Drosophila melanogaster: one gene and its partner. The protein of the gene in region 2 purifies or fractionates together with the protein of the main gene of each other region. This does not show direct contact. Each region holds a gene or a part of one and is shown on either strand. Other genes may lie near its edges. The genes, in order: MESR6 and Acat1.

The links.
Region 1: the proteins of Acat1 (region 2) and MESR6 purify together in Drosophila melanogaster (affinity purification with mass spectrometry, with the first as the bait; one large-scale study listed by BioGRID). This does not show direct contact.

Annotation. Positions count from the first base shown.
Region 1 is NT_037436.4:19,090,804-19,095,461, forward strand, and holds MESR6 (misexpression suppressor of ras 6), read left to right. Parts: upstream 1-1,866; 5' UTR 1,867-2,006; coding exon 2,007-2,517; intron 2,518-2,595; coding exon 2,596-2,637; intron 2,638-2,859; coding exon 2,860-3,761; 3' UTR 3,762-3,957; downstream 3,958-4,658.
Region 2 is NC_004354.4:7,886,330-7,890,402, forward strand, and holds Acat1 (Acetyl-CoA acetyltransferase 1), read right to left. Parts: upstream 2,457-4,073; 5' UTR 2,342-2,456; coding exon 1,109-2,341; 3' UTR 801-1,108; downstream 1-800. Other genes in the region: Nek2, read right to left, coding at 2,963-4,073.

The DNA of each region.
Region 1 (4,658 bases), on a different chromosome or scaffold from region 2:
GACCTCCAGGGTCAAGCTGAAGGCAAATTAATTGCGAGAATTGGGTGCGACAGCTAGAGAAAGCGCAGAGCTGCTGTAATTGATACAAGAACAAAAACGAGAAGCCAAATTGCAGCCAATTGATCGAGTTAAGGGGCCGATGCTCTCGAAGTTGGCACTTCCGTTGCGTTATAAGGGCTGGGGAAAGCCCCCCAATCAAAAACAATTTCTCTCAGTGTGCCAGCGAGCTCGATAATTAGGCGGTCAACATAAGTAACATGGAGATATAGATCTTTCATGGAATCTTCGTCCTTGATTACTGCTCTAAAACCTATAATTGAGCATAATATTTTGGTCAGCAAATCAACTTATACTGGTAACAATTTGATAAGAAAATGTGTGAATTTTTAAGTACTATTTATTACTAGTTTCTAGTGATGCAGTTGTAGTTGTACGGCAATGAAATGAAAAACTTCAACGAGAGCAGACTTCAATCCTAAACGGATTAATTAAGATATCGTGGTAGTAAAGATTTTACATGGCAACGTGGTACTCGGCGTAATGGACGCCACCGAGGGTGTTTCGGCCCACGCGAAAACTTGGCCAAAAATAAAATGTAAACGGTAATAAAAGAAGAGTGTCGCCTATGTATGTACAGGGACACCCACAAAAGTCTATATACAGTTATATTTTTTGATAACGCTCGACGGCGGAAACATTGCACGCCAACGCCCGAGCAGCGCTGTCGGCGCTTTTCCAGACAACCGAGCCGCGCCATTCATTTCCACCAGCTGCAAAGGGCGAAAAAGACGAACGCAGATACTAGCGCTCAGATACAGATACAAAGTCGAACTCGCAGATACACAGACACACACACACACAGCGGCAGTGTTTTACGCATTCCAATCAGCCATGTGGGCGTCCGATTCCCTCCGCTGCAAATGCAAATGTATATATATACACATAGATATACAAATATATACCTACTACATATGTACAGATATAATAAAAACTTATGAATGAAAAGCTTCTGCGCAGCGTGGGCGGAACGCTGGGCCAGCTTTTTGGGGGCTAAAAGCTCCAGAGGCCGCTCAGCACCCCCCGACCCCCGCCCCCCATCACTCGCTCGATGGCAATCGCATTATGCCAGCGTCCAAGCTGCGGATACACACGGAATATTGATTGGAGGCAAAGTCTCCAAATCTGAAGTAACCTTGAAATGTGGGTGGCCGGTGGGCCGAAGGTTGAGGATAAAAGGGTCTTGTGGGGGGGGGGGGCGAGTTGCTGGAGGGGAGTGTGAGACATTTGGATTGCGGATGGCAAAGAGCTCGTGTGCTGGCTGAGCTTATAAAGTGCTGTTTAATTAATGAACACTGCTGTTCGAAAAATTGTTTCAAGAACTTGCAAATTGAAATTCAAATCTTTCCTTGGTTGCACGAGAGTCGCAAGAAGAAGGTTACTCCCTAGTGTCTCGACTATGAGATACTCTCTCCTTACTTCTTATTTTCGTTTACCACTATCAAAGTGATATGAATATAGAAATAGGTGTACTATTTTGATAATATTAAAATATTTTTTTTTTTAGTTTTTAATAAATTTTGTTATTTTTAACATTTTTAACATTTTCTAGATTCTACATTCTAGATTCTAGATTTCAAAGCGAATGCTTTAAAAAATCAAATTTATTTTAAGTTATATCAAAAAATACTCAACGTCTCAAGTAATTGACAAAATAAGGTACAATATATGGAAAATGTGTAGAAAAAACTTTTAAATTAAACGGACACAACTTTAATCGATACATCGATAGTTGGGTCCTATGTAATGTGACCTTATTATAGGGCTACCATTTTTAGCAATACGGGAAACTTGTGCTAGACAGCAATCTGGTCACACTGCCAAACAGCTGTTAATGGTCAAAGACCCCCAAAATATTAAATACAAAAGAAATTAAGTCTGCTTACCGTGCAAGTAATTGAACAGTGTGCTAAGGACCCAGTTGTACAGTCAAAGTAATCCCGAGGGAAATGGAATCGGATACGCTGGACCAGGAGAGTGCCGCGGCTGCTCTAAAAAAACTATCGCCAAGTGAAAGTCCCGAAAGTTCGAAGAAATGGGAGCCGACTTCGGGAGAGTGGGTTGCGGCGGGTGGGGGAGAAGAGGCGCCGCCAACAAAGAGACAAAAGACTGCAGACGAAAAGGAGGAGAATCGGGAGGAAGACGAGGATAGCGAGGAGAGCGTTGATGAGGAGGAGGATGATGGCGAGGGCATCGTCCAGATTGGCGGCACCATCAGCCCAAGGCATTTCCAGCGCATCCCCGTCTTTATCGTCGACTACCACAACGATGTGCTGGAGTTCATCTACCGCTGCTTTGCCACCCGCCACCTTCCGCTGCAGAACAACACCCTTGTCCACTTCGACTCGCATCCGGATCTGGTCATTCCACGGCACATTGCCGCCAGTTCCACCTACCAAAAGGAAACCATGTTAAATGAGCTTAGCATCGAGAACTGGATCATGCCCACACTTTATGCAGGTGAGGATTTCTATGGGGAATCGAAGAGAACTATATTATATAGAAATATAATATTAAATGCTATTATTTTATTTCTAGAAATAGAAAACAATGTAAAAGGACAAATAAAAAAGTTCTATGGTCTAATTTTACTAAGAACTTAATATTTAAAGATTATCTCTTAGTAACTGCTAAATATCCATTGAGTACTGTTGTCAAAAAGATTCCTTTCTACATTTAAAGGATTTCAAACCAAAAACTTATTAACTGTGATGAGTCTAATGACATTAATTAGCTATAATTGCATTTTCTTATAGAAATTAGTGTAAAATAATAACTTATTGCTATATTACTTGCTCTTAGGACATTTCAACCGCGTCGTGTGGCTGAAGAACTCATGGTGCCAGCAGCTGCCCACTGGCAGGCACGACTTTAAGGTTGGACAAAAGGACGATCGCATTGGAGTGGACTGTCCGTTGGACTACTTTATTGCCGACGGCAACTACTGCACTACGGAGGATCTGCAGGATGCCAAGAGCGTGGAGCTGCAGGTTCACGATGCAGACAACGAAAGCCTCAATCCGAACGAATTCCTAACGGAGAAGGACGCCAAGGGATTCGTGCTGGACATAGACCTCGACTTTTTCAGCACCTCCAACCCCTTCTTGGAAATATACAAGGATGCCGATTGCTACAATCAGCTAAAGGAGATCTTCCACTTCGAAAGCGTGGAGAAGGTGAAGAAGTCGGGCACGGCTACTATAGCAGATTATTTGGCCACGGCAGAGAGGCGACAGACTCAGTTGGATGCACTGAAGACGATTTTCTGGCATCTGGAGGAGGAGCGCAATTTCGAGGGACTGGAAAAGCCGGACGAGACCGTGGTCACGCCCGAAGTGTACGCCAAGATTGTGAAACTGGCCGATCAGCTGCAGGAGAAATATCCAGACGATGAAATCGACTGGCATTTGATCTTCGATTCGGGCAGCACCACCGATAATAATGGCTTGCCCCACCACATCAGCATCGCCGAAGAGTTGGAAACGTACTTTGCAAACTTCAAGCGTTTCTTACAGCGCCTGCCAGTTCCTCCAGTGGCCATTACAATGGCCCATTCCGCTCAAGATGACTACTGCCCCCAGGATCAGGTGGCATTCATTGAGGAATGCGTTCTACGCCTGCTTAAGGAGGTTTTTGGCGAAAGACTGCACGACAAAGCCATCCTGCACTATATGGACGATCCTTGGGATGTGATGAAGCTCTAAGCTTATGGATAACTAGGGGTTCTTTCGCCCGCCACTGCGAATTAGATTCTGAATTTACAAAACTCGTTTGGGCGGGAAAACTCCACGACTAAAAGATACCCGTAGTGATTTCGAATTAGAACCTAATGATGGAAAATCCAATACTAATTATAATAATATTTTTTACTTTGAAATATACGCGAAGTATTTATTACAGACAATTAAACAAACTCATTTAATGCAAATTGGGTATATTCAAAATAATTTGTTTTTAAACTTTGAAAGGTTTCGCGACGAGATACCTTTTAAACGACATATTAGGTGCCCCAGTAAAATCAAAATGTGTATGCACAGATAATCTATATTTAATCGTAAATACTAAATGTTAGTTATAAAATGTACATGTATTTAAGGATAACTCTCTTCCATTCAGTGCCGTAGGTTCCTAGAAAATGCGCAAAATCTCATTTATTGACATGGACATGGCATGAACACCTGAATTTCTGGCTGGGGGTTATGACTGGCCACCTCATTGAGGGCAGTCAACTTTTAATTGTCGACCCCAATTCGTGGCCGAAATCAATAAGCCAATGGCCCCAGGCGAAACTTTCAGTAGCATTCTGTGGCTCAGTCGTTGTGGAAGTTATACAGATTAGCTTGAGAGACATAGTGAGTTCACTTAAGCTAATTAAACACTTTTCGCTTTGTTCTATAGGTGGTAAAACTTAAAATGATTTCCATTTCGAAAAAAAGTAAGATCATTGGAATTTAAGTAACTACTACATTTAGTTTGTCAATGCTTGAGTTCATTCAAAAACTAAAATTTGTGTTACTTTTAAAAATTGCATCGACAACAGCTGCACTACATCTACATTTTTCGACATGGAATTACAATATGGTAGGGATTCCTAGGATATA
Region 2 (4,073 bases):
TGATTTTTGGCCTGATCGTTAGATCCATGTACTCGGCGCTGTTGTTCTTCATCCTGCGATACCATCTGCACCAGCGATTGCCAGGAAATCTGCAGGATCTAACCCATGGCGACTATGCGGCCGTAATGGGTCGGACCACGTTGCAAGATCTGAGGGAGGTGCCCAGTCTGCAGGATCTGCTGGGTCTCAAATCCGTGATAGTGACCTCTGAACGGGAGGAGGAGGTGCTTCGCACGTTAGATCGGTGTACGCTGCGAGAAGGAGCCGGCTCACATCCACTTTTCTTTGGCCTGATTTCCCAGGATGCACTTCTCCATCTCACCCAACGGGGCCATCGGGCTGGAGCGTATCACATCATACCGCAAGACGTTCTGGAGCAGCAGCTGGCCATTTATCTGCAGAAGCACTCGCATCTGGCCAGCCACTTGGACCACCTCGTCATGTCCATTCGATCCGTTGGCCTGGTGCACCACTGGGCGGGCCAAATGGCTAGCGAGCGGTACTTCCGCAGTCGGTTCCTGTACCGGGAGAAGCGCATCCGACAGCCGGATCTGTGGGCGGTCTACATCCTGACCGCAGGACTATATCTCCTGTCGCTGGTCGTCTTCATATGCGAACTTCTGGCCTCCAGACGAGCAGGGCTCTGAACAAAATATTTTACTTATTATTACTAAATAAATTATGAAAACAAGAGAGAATGCTAATGCTTTTACTTTACGAGTAACGGGTATAATATCCTTAAATGCCGAAATTATCATTTTTTTAGGTATATATTAAATGGTGAATTTATAGGCATATATATATATATATATAAATTCAACAATAAAGAACATTTTCAGCACTTAATTCATTTTTTTCACAGAACAAATATAAGATGTTTAGACTTTGAACCCTATTACCGTCATGGAAGAACACTGATTTGATATACATATAATAATTATTGACTGTTTCATAATTTTATTATGCAAATCACAATAGTTCGTTAAATGCGGCCACGCGCAATCAAGACACTTAACAATTTAAAAAAAAACATAGAGCTTTCCACAATAATCTCGATGGATCAGTAGTAAATGCATTTCTGGTTGAGAGCAGGTCCGCCAGGTGACCTTTACAGCTTCTCGATGAGAATGGAGGAGGCTCCACCGCCGCCATTGCAAATGGAGGCGCATCCCAGCTCGCCCTTCTTCAGGCTGTGCGAAAGATGGGCCACCAGACGGGCTCCGGACATGCCGATTGGATGGCCAATTGACACGGCACCTCCATGAACATTAACCTTGGCTGGATCCACATCCAGTTTCTTGATATTGGCCAAAACGACCAGGGAGAAGGCCTCATTGACCTCCCACATGGCCACGTCTTCCTTGCGAACGCCGGCACGCTTCAGTAATTTGGGAATGGCCAGAGCTGGGGCAATGGGGAAGTCAATGGGATCGGTCTCCGCATCCTGGAAGGCCACAATCCTGGCCAGCGGCTTAATGCCCGCCTTCTGGGCTGCCTCGGCACTCATCAAAACCACGGCGGCACCGCCATCATTCAAGGTGGATGCATTTCCGGCTGTCACAGTGCCATTTTCCCTTTGGAAAACGGTGGCCAACTGTCCAAACTTGTCAAAATTCACCCGCTTGTACTCCTCATCCTCTGAGATGACGATCTCCGGCTTCCTCTTCTGCTGAATCTTCACCGGGGCAATCTCGTCCTGGAACACCTTGTTGGCCCACGCGGCAGCCGATCTCTTGTATGATTCAATGGCAAAGTCATCCTGCTGCTGACGTGTGATCTCCAGTTTTTTGGCCGTATTTTCGGCACAGTTGCCCATGTGGAACTTGTTGTACACATCCCAGAGGCCATCGAAAACAATGCCGTCGGTGAGATTGACGCCGCCATAGGGCGTGGCTCCCCTCTTCAGATAGTAGGGAACATTCGACATGGACTCCATACCGCCGGCAACGACCACATCAGCATAGCCGAGCATCAGGGATTGGGCGCCCAGCATAACGGCCTTCATGCCCGACGAGCACACCTTGTTCACCGTGGTGCAGCATACATTGGTGGGCAGTCCGGCGAAGATGGCAGCCTGACGGGCGGGGGCCTGTCCCAGACCAGCAGATACCACATTGCCCATAATCACCTCCTGGACATCGGTCTTCGCAATTCCGGCCTTTTCGATGGCCGCCTCGATGGCACGGGCTCCCAATTGGGTAGCCGTCAGTGGGGCCAATTGACTTTGGAAGCTGCCAATTGGTGTGCGGGCTGCCGAAACCACCACAACTTCGGCGATTTTGGAGCTGTAGTTGCGATGGGCGCTCCAGCGACGCGTGGCCTGCAGCAGTCGGGCGGACATCTTGGAATTTAATTAATTTGTATTAACTAGCACAGCAATCACACAGGTAAATGGCAAGAATCCAATCAGAAATCACGCCAGACCTGTTGCTTGCGTAACAAACCGGTAATCGGTCTATCGATAGGCAACAGCTGGCGCGGTAAAAGTGTTGGCAACTGTTAAATAAGATTAAAGCGACTGGTAATTTTCTATTAGTTAGCATTCTTTAAATGTAATTTTTAATTTTTGCTGTTTTAAGTATATTGCTTGAAAACTACGCTGTAAAGATGCAATGCTAAGTTTATATATTCTTTTTACAATACCCAGCACTGAAAATGCGTAAATTGAACTTAACGGTTACAAGCGAACAACAATAAATAAAAACACGAAAATTGAAATTTTAAACACAAATGTATCTCATTTCATCAATATTTATTTTAAGACTAATGCAAATTGCACAATGAATGGCAGCTGAAAAAACTGGAATCTTAATGCTAATAATACGTGTTTAAAATATGGCATTCAAAAAAATTTTTGCATAAAAAAAATGTAAATATTTCGGAACTTATTCCACATCACAACGCTCATAGTCTCCATGGTTGCCATGGCTCCTGGACTGCACATCTTTCCTGATCAATTTGATCAGATCACCATCTGGTCGCGCGTTGTTAGCTTCTGATGGCCAGTGGCCACCACCAAAGACCTCCGCATGCGGTTCCGCTGCAGCGTGGAATTCCGTTCCCTCACCGATTGCCGCAGATGCTGGCGACGTGCTCCTCCGGGTCCAGAACCAACGACTCCACCTCCGCTTGCCTCCCTCTCGGCTGCATTCATGGCCGCCAGCAGCTCGAAGGCTTGTTTCTTCTGCTCCTTTGTCCAGAGATTGGCCACTGGTGGAACTTCTGCCGGCTGTTCCTGCGTGATCGGTGGCTTGACGGCCAAAGGAGGTCGCTGCACGCGAGTTGCAGCTGCTTGGGCTACCTGGTTGACCGATGGCAAGGATTTGGATGTCGCCTTGGATCCGCGACTCAACCCGAAAAGCGAGAGTATAGATTTCCTGCGGGTGGAGGAGGCCTGGCTGTCACCGGAATCATTGCTGGATACGCTCATTTGCATGGGAACGCCAGTGGGCGGAGGATTCACTGCCGGTTTAACCGCCGGTGGGGGCATATTCTCGATACCATAGGTAACAAACTTTTGGGGCGACTTGAAGGTAACCTTACGCAGAGTATTTAGCGATTTTGGTGCCGGAAGTGTGGCTAAATTGAGTTTAGCCACCGTGGGCGACGTCTCGTTGAGTTCGATAGTGCAGTAGGTGTCATCATGGTGCGATTTCGCTGGCTTCCTAGGAGGAATGGGCGGAGCTATCGGCTGTCTGCAACTACAAGTGTGTTTCTCCTGCTGAAGAAGTTTTTCCTGCATCTGCCGCTCCAGCGTTTGCACGCGCTGTTCGGCCAGCTGTAACTCCTGCTCCCGGGTCTGCAGCTCTTCGAGCTTCTGCTGCAACAGGGATTCTTGGGCACGAATGGCGTGGAGACGGGTCTTTAGTACTTCATCGAATATGTTTTGGGTAAGAGCACGAGGACTGCTAGGGGCCTCCTTTAGAAGCTCCTGATCCCTTTTCTGCTGCTCCTGATCCTTTTTACGGCGCCGCTCTTCCGCCAGTTCCACCTGCCTCTCCTCCGCTCGCTCCTCTCTCCTTATACTTTCATAAAGAGAGGGATCCGACAGCTGTAGTTTCTTGGCAGGAAAG